Coturnix japonica: one gene and its partner. The protein of the gene in region 1 binds, or shares a complex with, the protein of each later gene. Links are inferred from orthologs where the notes say so. Each region holds a gene or a part of one and is shown on either strand. Other genes may lie near its edges.

Region 1 (7,253 bases):
GCCCAAGGAGGTTGTGGATGCCCCATCCCTGGGGGCATTCAAGGCCAGGCTGGATGTGGTTCTGGGCAGCCTGGTCTGGTGGTTGGTGACCCTGCACGCAGCAGGGGGTTGAAACCAGATGATCGTTGTGGTCCTTTACAACCCAGGCTATTCTATGATTCTATGAAATATTTTCCACATTATCTGTAAACATTGATAGTTAACAGCAGTTTCAGGTACTTTTGTGCTCAAATAAGGCAGTACTGCTTTTCTAATGATTTCAAAAATTTAAAGTATTTCCTGGATTATATATTTGAGTAATCTTATCTATGTAATTAATACTTTTTTCCTTAACCTTTGGTGGTGTTTATTGCAAAAAAGAACATTTGGAACCCGCTGCTTGAAACTTGATGCTGGTTAATGTGAAATAGTCCAGAAAAAAGCATAACTGTAAACTGTTGGGTAAAATAACTTCAGTTTCTCCTTCTAGCAGCGGTCAGCTATACAGTAATTTACTTGCAACTATTCCCATTGTGGTGTATTTTGTACCGAGTGAATGTGATTATATGCTGGGCGAGAAAATTATTTCTTAGGTTGACTGATGTACCATTTCATCACTGAATACTGTTTTTCATGCTTATAAGACATGGAGTACTTGAGGAAAGTTGCGTATCTTAGAGCTCAGTACACCTTGTGTGTTTTGCTGCCAGAAAAATATATTAGATCCAGCTTATGAGGAGCTTGTATGCCAGTTATTACTGCTGATTACTGTACTACAGGAAGTGGAGAAAGAAACAGTGAAAGCTCTACAGATATTCTCACCAAATCTACAAATAGAATCTGACCAGATTCTATGCCCATTTGTGCATTGTGAGTCACATCTGTAGCAAGGCTTTTCGTCGCACTATCTAGTAAGACTGAAAGTGAATGAAGCTTTCTACCCAGATGTGACACGTTATATGAATATCAGGTTTTGCATTAGTCCAGGAAGTGCTACATAGGCAGTCCAGACGTGCTCGTTTAAAGCTGCCTCGTAGTAATTTCAGTTGTCCAGTTTAACTTGCCACTTTATGTTTGTCAGAACCCTAAACAATTGATATCGATTTCCTATATTTCTACACTGCAAAGACTTCTAGTAGGTGGGATTAGAAGTCTTAAACAGAAGAATTCATCCTCTTGAGAGACTAATTCAGGTCCCTTTCGTTAACTCTTCCAATATTTCTATATTGTATATAAACATATACTGAATAGGTAACGTGTCCTGATTCTGCAGGAATGTTGGAAGACTGATTGATCCCACAGGTAGACTAATGGTAATATTTCTCTTGTAAGGAGCAGCTTGGTTAGAATATGAGAGATGTACTTCCCTAGAAAAAAAGACGAGACCACAGTAATAGAATTTGAGTGATGTGTAAAACTGAATATGGCATGAATAAGTGTCTGCTTTACCTTGAAATTTATTCTTGTTCTGTTATAAATTATATATTCTATAATTCAGTATTATACATCTCTTCTTGCTAACCAGATTTGGATGACTTTTTTCTGAAAGCTTGCCTGGATCAACCATTGACATTTGCTCAGAATACAAATGTGTGTGTTTTACCTGAGGTACTGTCCTTGGGAGACATTTTTCTCTTGGAAAAATAAACAAGTAGCTCCTCCTCCTTTGCCTCCCACCACCTCTCCTTTGATCAACATGACAAAAATTCATCCTGCCTCCAGCTGGGCAGGAACAGCAGCCGAGGTCAGGATTGTCCTCTAGGGATGTTATTCACCTCTTACTGAAACCTCGGTTTTGCTGAGAACAGTCAAATTCTAATGTTATATATTAAAATAACGTCCTAACAGATGTTATTTTTCCTTTTTTTAAAGGAAAATATTCATACCAAAAGTACATTAACGTTGCAGTGTTGTTTCTAAAATCAGAAAATTAAGTTGACTGACAGGATTAACAGTCATGTTGCATGCATGTTTTTAAAAACCTGTTTTAGCATCTGTGGGCCTTAAGTGTCTTATAGTTGGTTGTATGCAAATTTTCTCCAAGCAAATTTATCCCTTCTTGTTTATTTACTTGTCTGTTGCATAGTGACTGTACATTTTGATATTTTTTGTCTTATAAGGAGCTTGTACGCCAATTACAACTGCTGATAATTGTACTACAGGAAGTGGTATTGCTTTTCACTTTCATGCTTAAAACCACAAAGTAGTTGTATTTCTATATCAAATGTTGGCCTTTCTCTCTCACATACTAATTTTCAAGGCTACCTACAAATCCCTAAAGTTTACCTGTAGAGATGTAAAAACAATATGATAACATTATAGCATAATTAAACCGTATTTTGCACGCGAGTGTAGATGGGTGTGCAGTAGTGCTGGCCTAAGACAGGAGACTTCTAAGGCCTGTCTTTTCTCTAGCAATTAGCTAGCATGCATGTTTTAGAGTGTACAACCAGATGAATCTGGTTTTGAAATCTATAGCTAAACTCTGCTTGATGCCATGGAAATTGATTGGATTTTTACAGTGTGACCTCTGAAAAGGGACAGGATTAATTGGTTGTTTATTTGTTAAGAAATGATGTGTTTGTGTGTGTCTATATATACATATACATTCATACATATGTATATATGTGTATGTATGAATATATGTATGTATGTGTATATATGTGTATGTATGAATATATGTATGTACATATACATGTACATACACACACACACATATATGTGTGCATATATATATATATATATGTATGAAAAAATTACTGGAAAATAAATAATCAGCAGGTTTTGGTTGATCCTGTTTTCCAGTATGCTGGATTTTTTGTTCTCATCATGAAAACTAAGTGTAGTTCAGTGGTTGTAAGTTGAGGATTTTTAGCGTTTCAATCAAGAGAACAAATTGTACCATTCCCTTTTGTTGTTCTTGTGGGGTTGTTTTTGTGGGGTTTTTTAAGCAAAACTCTTTGTACTTCTGAAGTGTCTTTTTCCTTCTCTTTTTCTTATTCAACACACTTTCCTACAGATACAATATATTTGTTTTTCAGTGGAAATTGAAGACCTTAGCCTCAAGACATCTTTTCTAATGGGCAAAACCATATTCCCTTTCACCCAGCCCAGCCCAGCTCAGTTATACAGGATTTCAGTTCGGACTTTAAGGACAGTTTTGTTGTTTCCTCTTCACACGTCCTACGTAAGGATTTGCTTTCAGTTGTGGAAGACTTTGGCTGTGAAGAGCAAACAGTTTATAACACTTTGTGTTTGTGAAGTTGGTTTTCTCAGGCTAGTAGGTCCTGCAGCCATAATGACTGCAGCCATCTTTTTGCTCTATCAGTTTCAGTTGCGATGATGGTGATAAAAGGTACAAGGAAAGAAGTACAGTACTGCTAATGTAAATTTTCAACTATGTAGGATGATGGATTCCAATTTGAATATATATCATGAGAAGAAAAGCAGACTAAGGAGCTAAGGTAACAAAGCTTTTTAGTAGTTTTTTAGTGGCTGATAATTATTCTGAGTATGGTGGAATTCTTTCTGTCCAGGCAAGCAAATTGGTAGGAAAAATGTATGGAATAGAATTAAAGGCATCTATCAGGCATCCGGCAATTGTGGATGGTATTGTGGACAGAAAGGAAGGAGTCTCATACTGTGTATATCTGCTGAGCGGTCTTTGCTTCCCATTTATGGATATTGTCACATAAGCAACATCTTAGCTGGTCTGGACGTTTACTGCTGAGAGTGTACTGCCAGCACTGGGAATTCCGGACATCTCTTCAAGATAAGATAGGCATATGATGCAGTAAAACTCAAGAGTTAAAGTTGGAATGGATTTTTTCTACTTTTAGAGGGTTATCTTCATGTGACTACCTGTACACTCTGTCTTTCATACTTAACCACCCTGCACAGCATAAAATACTAGATGTTTCCAGGCCACTGTAAATGCATTATGTGACAGATTATATTGTAGAACTAGTTGGTTTTTAGACTTCACTCCCATACACAATAGGTATATACTTAATACTTTGAACTTTTGTATGTTCTAAATCTCTTAGCCTCTTTATTTTCTCGTTCCTTATACCACTGTGCCTTTCTTGTGCCTTTAGTTTTTACTCCAGTGCGAAAGTGGTAGTGAAAAAGCAACTTTCAACGTATGCTCAGAAGACAGTATGTTAACAAGAGAAGCTTTCTGTTTGCTCAGCTCCACAGATGTGAAAATTACCAAAACTGCCTAAATCTTGCCACACATACAGGAATTTGCAGTACCTTATCCCCACCTATTTACTGACATTACCAGTGCTATTCCATACATCATACAGACTGTTCTGTTTATGTAGAAAGCGAATACTTCTCCATGCAGATAGATACCAGTACGGTTTGCATGCACACGAATGTATAGTGCTCCCTTACCTCCAGGTTTGATGTAGAAGCAGTTGAGCTGAGTTTCATGCACCAGCTTCCCCTTGTACTTCGTTTCAGATTCCCCTTGCTGGTGGCTGGATAGCGGTTGGTATGCTTGCCGAACCAAGGCTTGAAACATAGTTTAAAATTCCAAGGAGCTGTGAAACCACCGAGCTTGAATATATTTTCTCAGTATAAAGGAGGTAAATTCCTTTTAGACAATTGTTTCCTAATGCAGAGTTATTTTATGTAACAGCCTTGTGCAAAACCAAAAACCAGAGCTACCAACAACTTGGTTCTTTCATCTAGAAACTACTTTCCAGCTCTCTGACGCCTTCGCAATATCTAATGCACTGTTCTTCCTTTCCTTGCTCCTCTCTCCTAATCCTTTTTTTGTCTTGTGTACCTTATGTTCCGTTGGAGCCTTCTCCTCCCCTTGTGGTTTTTCAGGAAAACTTTTTCAGGACTGAGAAGTGGAGATAATGGGCGCCATCCACCCGTCAGCTCGTCACCTCACGGAGCCATGGCGATCTCTGGTTTCTGTGTATCAGCACGGACTTCTCTGATAATATCCTCTTGTGTTTGAAAAAAATAGGTTTGTCTAACAAGGGGTGGACTTCAGTCCTGACATAGCCAGAAAACTTCTCTTGGAATGTGAGCTTGCTCGCTCTCGCTCTTTTATGTGTGTGTGTGTATATATATAAAAATATTTGTAACCTTCTCTCAAAACACGAAAGATAAATATAGGAACAAGTGTATCCCACAGTACATATACAAGCTGCCCACTTCTGTCTATTACTGATTTAATACAAGCTCTTGAGTGCCTCATCAGCTCCGTCTTCGTCAAAACAAGCCTTAAATCATAAATAAGCAATATTCTTCAATTACAGGAGGAGAAAAAGAAACCCTTTGCAAGTATAAGATAGCATACCCTTTAAAGGACAAGGAATGTGTTACATACAGAAAGCCGGTGTTAGTGTTCCAGTGGAATTCCACTAAGACTGCAAATGCAGTGCTGCTTTTTTGTCTAAATTGGCATACAAACTACGAAGTGTGTTGGGCTTAGTATTTGGTATCTGCTCTACTTTAATGGCTCTGGTTGCAACTCCTTTGTTGATTTTGCAGAGCAGAGCTTGTTATGGTAAAATTTGATAAAATCTAAAATCTCAGTGGAATAAAATATTTTTTTTTAATCAGTCTTCACCAAAAATGAGGCTTGTACCTGCTAGCTTCATTATTTTGGTCGTATGTACTCCTAAGCCTCTTAGAGCCTCTTGCAGTAATCCTTTTGCATAGCAGAGAGATTATTTATATGAATAAAAGCAGCCAGAGATCCTGTAGCCAGGAAGAAAAAAAAAGTGATGTAAGACACATGCTTTGGGTCAGAAGTCAACAGCAGAGGGACTATAAAGGTTCTTCCTGTGAATCATCTGGTGCTGCTCATTGTCTTAGACAGGATATAGATTTTAAGTTTGATGAACTCCACCGATTTTTTTTCTCTCTGCCAAACAAACTGCCTTTCTGTAAAATTTCAGGTTTATTTGCTTTATGACATACGGTACTAAATCTTCTACGCAGGAATGTGTAGCATCTCTCAGTAGACAGGTTTTCATAATTAGAAAAGAAGGAACAATGTCTTTTTATGTAAAGTATGGTACCTGCTCGCAGTGTTTTGTTTCTTTTTAAATTGTTGTCTCTCTCCTTTTGTGGTGGCTTTTAGTTTTTCCTGGCTTGTCTTTATTGCACAGAAAACAAAGTTAAGGTTTAGATTGACACTAAGAGTTAAAAGCAGGAGGAGGGGACAGAATGAGGAAGCAAAAGATGATTTTAATATTTTATTCCTAAAGGATCATACATGTGGTGTAGTACTTCCAAAGTAAAATCAAATGATGCACTTTCACTTTCTGTATGAAAATATGCCATTGCTGTAATGAAGATCACCCAGTGCACAGTTACGGTTTTAAATCTGTGCTGAAACGTACCTCTAAATTCTGTACTCAGCAGCTCATGAATTTTAGGGTTTGCGCCAGTGCTGTTTCAGTATTTTGAAATCTCTAGATGCAAATATAAAATTAATTTTATAATTTGTGATGCTGTCACCTGTTGGATTACATGCTTAAAACAAGGACATTGTATCGGTTTAAATTATTTTTGCCATGACAAACTTGATTTTAGAAGTATGTTCTGTTTCTCCCACTGTACAAGAACTTACACTTGTGTTGGAAGAAAGTAGAAAAGTCACTGAACTACTATGGAAAGCAGAATAATTAACTTCAGTGGTTAAAATTGCTTTTAGAAGATGTGCATGTATATGGTAAAAGAAAGAAAGCGTAAGGTAGTTCAGAGAGGCGGCACTTCTGTCTTTATGGAAGAAATAATGATGTTGCAACTTACACAAGAAAATAGATCATAAGGTATTCTTTAAACACTTGTTTAAATTTATATCCAAATGATAAGATGTGATGATCCTTCCATTTTGAACAAGTGAAAGTGCAGCAGTCATATGTGAGTGATAAATGCTACAAGGTGCAGATGTCTATTGAAGCCTGACTTGAAAGTATAGTCTACTCACAAGTGTGAACCTACCACAACTGGAATAAACTTAATACTGTTCATCTGAGATTTTGTGAGAGTAGTAAAAATCTTTGCTGTGTCAGTTGAATTGTATTGTATTCATCTAAATTAGATGTATTTAAGAATTTCCAGCAGCAACTCTACAGAAGAGAGGGTGTTATTTAAGTCAGAGTCACAGCTGAGTATAGCAAAAAGGAATTGTCATGGAGAAATAGAGAATATTATTAATGTGTTGAATATTACATGTTAACAGGATGGGAAAAATCGGCAAAAGCAAATATTTAAGATATGCTGTAAATGTGAATATC
Region 2 (6,782 bases), on another chromosome or scaffold:
AGTTCGAGCCTCACCTGGAGCAGGAATTTTACGGGCTGACAAAGTGATTCGAGAATCCCCCACCCCAAATCCCACCCCCGGCTCGTTACGCTCCGGGTTTTATTTTCCTTCATCCTGCCCTTCTTCCAGGGATGGTGCCCGAGGACCCCGAGGCTCCTAAATAACCCCCCTGAGCAGCCCCGGCTCCATTAGCAGAACCCAAACCCAATCCCACCCCGTTCTGCCCCTCCGGACCCATTTCTGACCCATCCCAGAGGTGGGGATGGATCCGGACCCCCCTGACCCCACAGCTCTGCTCTCTCCCCAATGCAGGTGACACCGTGCGGCCCCACGACCCCCTGTACCCACGGACACTTCTGCGATGAGCACTTCGGGCTGTGCCTGCCCACCCGGCCCGCAGGGCAGTACTGCCGCCGGGACACACACTGCGCCCACGGGCTCCTCTGCACCTTTGGGAAGTGCCAGCAGCCCGTGCCCCACGGGCAGGAGGGTGAGCAGCGGGTCGGGGTAGGGGGGAGGTTGGGGGGCAGCCCCGGGAGCGGAGGGATGCGATGGAGGCGGGGTTGGTACCATTATCCTCCATCAGAGCTGCTGCGGGCACCGGGACACACTGCAACCCACCCCCCCAAGGGCTCATGGCACGGGGCTGGGGGGCTCTTAACCCCTTTAACATCCTCTTTATCCCGACCCCAAAGGAGCTCGGTGCCAGAGGGATGAGGACTGCGGGCCGGGCGGCTGCTGTGCACGGAGACACGGTGAGATGCTGTGCCAGCAGCGGCTGGAGCTGGGGCAGAGCTGCCATGTGCCCCCCGGGGGTTTGGCCTTCAGCATCAACCAGGTTTGCCCCTGCCAGGCTGGGCTGGTGTGCCGAGCATCGCCTCCACCACGAGAGTGAGTACGGCCATGGGGGGCTCTGAGCAGCCCCGTGGGGAGGGGTCTGATGTCCCCATGTACCAAGGGGGGGGGGGGGTTAAAGCAGGGACTGATGTCCTCATGTCTCCCTGCAGGAAAGCGTTTGAATATTGGCCAGAGAAGAGCGAATGGAGGTGCCGGCAGCCCTGAGCCAGCAGCGCTGTATTTATTCCATGTAAATAGATGTACAGCCCCCATAAAGCAGGACGTGTCCCCCCCCAGGAGCTGGGCAGGACCCGGCTGCTCTCAACCCCCCCCAGGGGAGGCTGCAGTCATTGCAGAGCTGAGCTGTGCATGGTCTCAGCCCCCCCCCCTTAATGATGGACCCCCCCCCCAAATGATGGACCCCCACCAGGCACAGCCAAGGGGAGATCTCACTGAATTGTTTATTACAAAGAACCAAGCGAGCGGGGCGAGTCCCCCCCCCCCCAAACACACACACACACACATTAAAGGAGAATAAATAAATAAAAGACACTTTGTCGGGGGTCTTTAAATAAACTTGGGGGGATGACATAAATACGGGACGTCCCTCTGCCCTTCAGGAGGGCTGGGGGTTGTAAAGGGGGGTGGGGGGGGGCCCAGCTGCCCGGCCCTGGTGGGGTCAGCACCGGTGCAGGTGGGTCTCAAAGCACTTGGCAGGCAGTGACACCGAGTCCCCCCCCCCAGCATTAAAGGGGAAACTGAGGCACACAACGGGCAGAGCTGGTTTGGCAGCGGCAGAGCTGAGAGCCCCGGAGCCCCCCCGGCCCGGGCTGGCAAGGCTGGTGGTGTGGGTAAGGCAGCAACACCAGGGCCCCCCCACCCCACAGCATCGGTGAGAGGTGAGTCCAGCCCCACTGCAAGGGTTGGCCATGGGGTGTTCCCACTGCAGTGCTGTGACCCCTATAGGGGCAGAGGGATAAGGGACACCCCAGGGTGGGCGCAGGTGAAGGCAGGGCCCTGGGGAGCTGAGGTGGGGGACAGACAGACAGACAGACAGACAGGCACACAGACACAGCTGGATGGGGAAAGAGCAGATGGGCACAGAAAGGGGGTGGCACAGAGGGGGTTGGCAGGGCTGGGGGGCAGGGCCTGGTGCTGCTCAGTGCGCCCCATGGTCCCAGGAAAAGGGGGGGGGAGGGAGGGGTAAGCACAGGACCCCCCCCGGGACCTGCTGGGCACTGTGTCAGGCCAGGGCTGGGGCAGCTGTTAGCACGTGTTAGAAACACCCCCCCACCACCACCACCCAGATTGGCTCAGATTCACCCCCTAACACCAAAAACAGGCAAAGCCCACCCCCATTCCAATGCAAACACATGCAAAGACCATGCCCCCCCCCCCTCCCCACCCCAGGCAGGCAGCACCCAGTGGGGATCCCAAAACCCTGCACACATGGCACACGCATGCACCCCCCCCACAGCTACAGGGCAGGCACTGGCTGGGGAGGGAACAGCAGGCAGAGAAACCCCCCCCCAAACACACACCAGCTCAGGGGTCCCCCTGCAGCAGGGTGGCATAGAGCACCATGAAGAAGCGGGTGCACCCTGGGGAGGGGGCTGCGGGCAGGCAGCAGGCAAAGGGCTGGGGAGGGAGGAGAGCGCAGCCCCCCACCCTGTGCCATAGGGGACGGGGACACACCAGCCATAGGCATGTCCCCTTTGGTCACTTGCTCTCCCTGTGGGACAGGAAAGGCCCGAGGCATCGCAGGATGCTGGGGGGGCTGCAGTGGGAGGGAGACTCCCTCCTCAATACCAAAAGTGGGGCGGGGGACACCCCATGGCACAGCTGAACAGGCATTGGGCACGTGGCCTGCGAAGGCACCCAGTGGGGTGCAACCCCTGGCCCCAAAGCCACAGCACTGGGGCAGAGTGGGGAGGGGGCATCCCTGCTTACACCCCCCCCACCCTAGCGGATGTAAACCTCCTGGCCCCAGCCCTCTGCATCACTCTGGTCCAGACCCAAAGGCTCCGTCGGCTCCGGGCAGTAGCGGTCGTGGCCCTTGGCACGTCCCCGTGGTCCCTGGCCCCGCTCCTCATCCCACGCACCGCGATGGGCTGGGGGGGCTCGGGGGTCCTCCTCACCGGGATCGGTCTCGACGTCCATACAGGAGTTGCCGGGCTCTGTGCAGGCTGAATCCCGGCTGCCGGGGGTCTCCGAGTCGAAGGTGTCCTGGCGGGACAGGCGGCGGGGGGGGGCCGAGCGGGCAGGCGGTGGGATGGGCCCCCCCTCCCGGAGGTTCCCCTCGCCCGGCGGCTCCCCGTGCACCAGGTAGGTACCCTGGTTGGGAGAAGCAACCACACCGTGCAAGGACTGATGGATGGGTTAGTGAGGGGGGGGGTTGTTAGATGCTGCACACTGCGGGGCTTGGTGAGTAAGGGGGGGGCACATGCGCTCCCACCCCAGCCCGGTCTGTACACTCCGTGCCATGCAGCCCAGATGTGGGTCTCATCCAGCACCGGGGAGGGGGCACCAGGGCAGGGCCAGAGCAGTGAGAGGGTATGGGGGGCAACAGGGAGGTGGTGGGGTTGGGGCAGTGCAGCGACAGACAACACAGGACACACGTCCTTCCTCTGCCTGCTGCCCTGGGGGGGCTGCGGGCCCCCCTTGGCTTGGACATGGTCTCTTCTGCCAGACCCAGGGGGGTCAGGGGTGTCCAGGGGCTCAACCCCCCCAGAAGTTCCCTGGGGAACTAACCCAGGAGAGCTCCCCAGAGCTGTGAGGAGGGGACATGGATCCCCAGAGAGACTCCAACCCCAGGGGGCAGATCCCAAAGGGTGACCCTGATCCAGGGAGAGCAGAACCTCACCACAGGGGGATGGATGGCCCCAAAACCTGGGGTGGGGGAGCAGATCCTGGGGCAGTAGGGAGGGGAGGGGGGTGACTCCAGGGGCACAGGGGTGGCATCAACCATGGAGCAGGGAGCACAGCCCTGGAGGAGGGGGGCAACCCCAGGGATGCAGCTGTTCCCTGGGGTGTCCCCAAAACACAGGGTGCCCCTGACCCTTGGGGGTGTCCCTGACCCCTGGGGGAGGTCCCACGGGTGCCCTGCCTCCATCTCACAGCGCGTGCTCCTCCTGGGGGCTGGGGGTGGCGTCGGTGCCCCCACGGCCCCAGAAGCCCAGGTTCCTGCGCAGGGAGGTGAGCACCTGTACCTGCAGGTTGGAGACGGGCGCAGGGCTGGCGGCCAGGGCGGCTGTGGCCATGGTGCGGTTGAGCAGCGGGTTGGGGGGGTTGCTGCTGGGGGGGTGAGTTGCCTTCCAATAGGCCTCCAGGTACTCGGCCAGGTGCTCACAGGCCTCCTCCAGCTGGTTCTCGTCCAGCACGATGTCAAACATCTCCTGGGGGGGAGGAGAGTGCAGTGTGAGGGGGGGGGGGGGCTTACAGGGGCAGGCGGGGGGGGGGCGGGGGGCACTCACAGGGGGGCACTGAGCCAGCTTGTCGGAGGCCACCATCTGCACGTTGAGGTGCTTGGCCTGGGATTTGCCCCGGGACTTCACCAATCGCTGCAGCACCTGGGGCAGAATGGAGGGCGGTGGGGGGTGGGGGGCACAGGGACCTCGGTCCCACACCTGCCCACCCCACGGCCCCCCCCTCACCTTTGGGGAAGCGATTTTGATGTAGACAATGATGGGTGCCAAGGAGGTCTTGGCCAGCTGGGCTGGGTGGTTGATGGTGTCGGCATCCAAGGCCACCAGCTGTAGGGTCCGGGCCAGCTCGAAGATGCGCTCCGTCTCACTCTGCACCTCAGCTGCCAGAGTGGGGGGACAGAAGGGGGTCATGAAGGCACAGGGACAGCACAGGGGGGGCTGCAGGGACAGCTGCTGGAGATGTGGGTGTGGGGAGCAGGATGGGGCCAGGAGAGGCTCAGCCACACCAGCAGCACCCCAGCCCATGGATGGGAGGTGGCACTGCTGGGGCAGGAAGGGGTTGAGACCCCCCCAGACACATGCATTGGGTGGGTGCCTGCAGAGGCTGCGCTCAGACCCTGCAGGTTGGGGGGGGACAGGGACCCTTGGGGCTGCACCCCCTGCTGTCCCCAACCCCACGTTACCCGAGGAGCACACGCTACATACCCAAGACATCTGTATCAGGAGCAGGGGAGGAAGGAAGCGGTGCAGAGGGGAGGAACCCCAAAAGGGAAAGGAGAAAAGAAAAAAAAGAAAGAAAAAGAAAAGAGAGAGAGAAGGTAAAAAGGAGGAGGGGAAGAGAGACTGAGTCAAACTGAGAGTGGGAGCCGAGGGTCCCAGGTGCCCTTTGGCCCACGCACCCATCACCCCATAGTGTGGAGGGGCTGTGCAGGAAGGAGGGACACACACTGAGCGTCCCAGGAGGGAGGGGATGGGAGCAGGAGGCTGCTGGGCTGATACAGATGGGAGCTTGGGGGTGGCTGAGATGCTGCACCTGCCTTACCCAGGCTGGAGCGTGTGCTGGAGCGCTCGATGATGGTGTGTTTGCTGGGGTTGTTGAGCACAGAGCGCTTGGCGAGGGAGATGTCGGCTGTCACCCGCGTGATGGAGATCCTATGGGAAGGACACAGGTTGGTGGGGGTCCAAATACCCCCATCAAACATCTGCTTCCCACAGGAGCCTCCCCCCAGCTCTTGGGAGCTACCCCCAAGTCTCCTCCTTGGGGGCAGACCCCACTCAAACCAGGGAAGGGGGTGAGGGCCTCCATAGAGCTATGAGTCTTCAATGGGACTTAGAGGTCCCCTGTGGGGTAAGGGCCCCTCTTGTGAGATTGAGGGCCCCCCAGTGGTACTGAGTGCCCCCCCAAGTGGCAGAAGGCCCCGCCACCTCCTGCCTCACCTGCCATCAAAGCGATGCTTCAAGAAATCAAACAGTGCTTTCTGCATCATATCTGTCACCTGTGGGAGGGGAGGAGGAACGCATGGAACTGCTGTGATCATCTTCTGTGTGTCCCCCACCCTGGGTTCCCCCCCCAGCCCCGCTCCTCACCTCGTAGCCCTTCAACGATGGCCCCACCAGGATGATGGGCCTCATAGAGGGAACCACATCGTAGGGCGGCACGTGCTCAGTCTGTGGGGCAGCATCAGGGGGTCAGGGGGCTCACGCTGGGCCAGGGGGCACAGCAGGAGCCCGAGGTGATGCCAAGGGATGGGGAGGCCCCAGGAGTGGCAGCAAACCCATTCCCCCCTCCTCTCCTGCCCCAAACCCAGGGCTCTCGACGCTACTCACCGATTTCTGCTTCTGTTTCGCTACGTCCCGAGGCGCCGGGGCGGGCAGGGGGAGACAAACAAGGCATGCGTGTTACTGTGGGAGGGGGCTTCAGGCCCCAAACCGGGCTGGGGGGTTACCAGGGAGCCCAGGGGGGGCACAGCTCCAATGGCAAAGGGAGATCGGGCCAGTGGACTCATTCTGTATTAATGCTATCCTACTCTTGATTAGCATTGGGGTGTGAGCAGGGGCTCTGCGAGGCTTTGGGGGGCAGCAGCACCTCAGCACCCCCCCACCCACACAGTGGTTGCACCCGAGCCCCCCAGCACCATGCTCAGTTGAGGGGGGAGGAATGTTCCACTCTCATTTGCAGGGGAGACAAACACAGCTGTGCCACACACCATGCGCACACCGGGGGGCCCTGAGAGGAAGGGGGGGCACGGACTGATCCATCAGATGGATCAGGGGGCACACAGCCATGGGCTGAGCCATCCCATGGACCATGGGGGGGATACAGCCATGGACTGAGCCATCCAATGGACCATGGGGGAGGGGATACAGCCACAGAATGATCCATCCATGGACCATGGGGGGATTCAGCCACGGAATGATCCACCCCATGGATGACAGAGGGATCCATCCATGGAATGATCCATCCTGTGGATCCCAGAGGGAGCAGCTATGGTCCAATCCACCCCACGGTGCCCCCCGTAG

What was found.
Region 2: CACNA1C (region 1) and CACNB1 share a complex: the UniProt entries of both Homo sapiens proteins name them as parts of the calcium channel complex. The link is inferred for Coturnix japonica from reciprocal best matches to the Homo sapiens genes CACNA1C and CACNB1.

The regions. Positions count from the first base shown.
Region 1 is NC_029516.1:51,534,630-51,541,882, forward strand, and holds the start of CACNA1C (voltage-dependent L-type calcium channel subunit alpha-1C), read right to left. Parts: upstream 5,017-7,253; 5' UTR 4,511-5,016; coding exon 4,381-4,510; intron 1-4,380. UniProt on the Homo sapiens protein: Pore-forming, alpha-1C subunit of the voltage-gated calcium channel that gives rise to L-type calcium currents. Mediates influx of calcium ions into the cytoplasm, and thereby triggers calcium release from the sarcoplasm.
Region 2 is NC_029542.1:3,800,747-3,807,528, forward strand, and holds the end of CACNB1 (voltage-dependent L-type calcium channel subunit beta-1), read right to left. Parts: intron 6,110-6,782; coding exon 6,090-6,109; intron 5,931-6,089; coding exon 5,850-5,930; intron 5,759-5,849; coding exon 5,700-5,758; intron 5,415-5,699; coding exon 5,305-5,414; intron 4,643-5,304; coding exon 4,491-4,642; intron 4,407-4,490; coding exon 4,311-4,406; intron 4,233-4,310; coding exon 4,047-4,232; intron 3,172-4,046; coding exon 2,800-3,171; 3' UTR 1,285-2,799; downstream 1-1,284. Other genes in the region: dickkopf-related protein 3-like, read left to right, coding at 313-490, 696-891, 1,008-1,062. UniProt on the Homo sapiens protein: Regulatory subunit of L-type calcium channels. Regulates the activity of L-type calcium channels that contain CACNA1A as pore-forming subunit.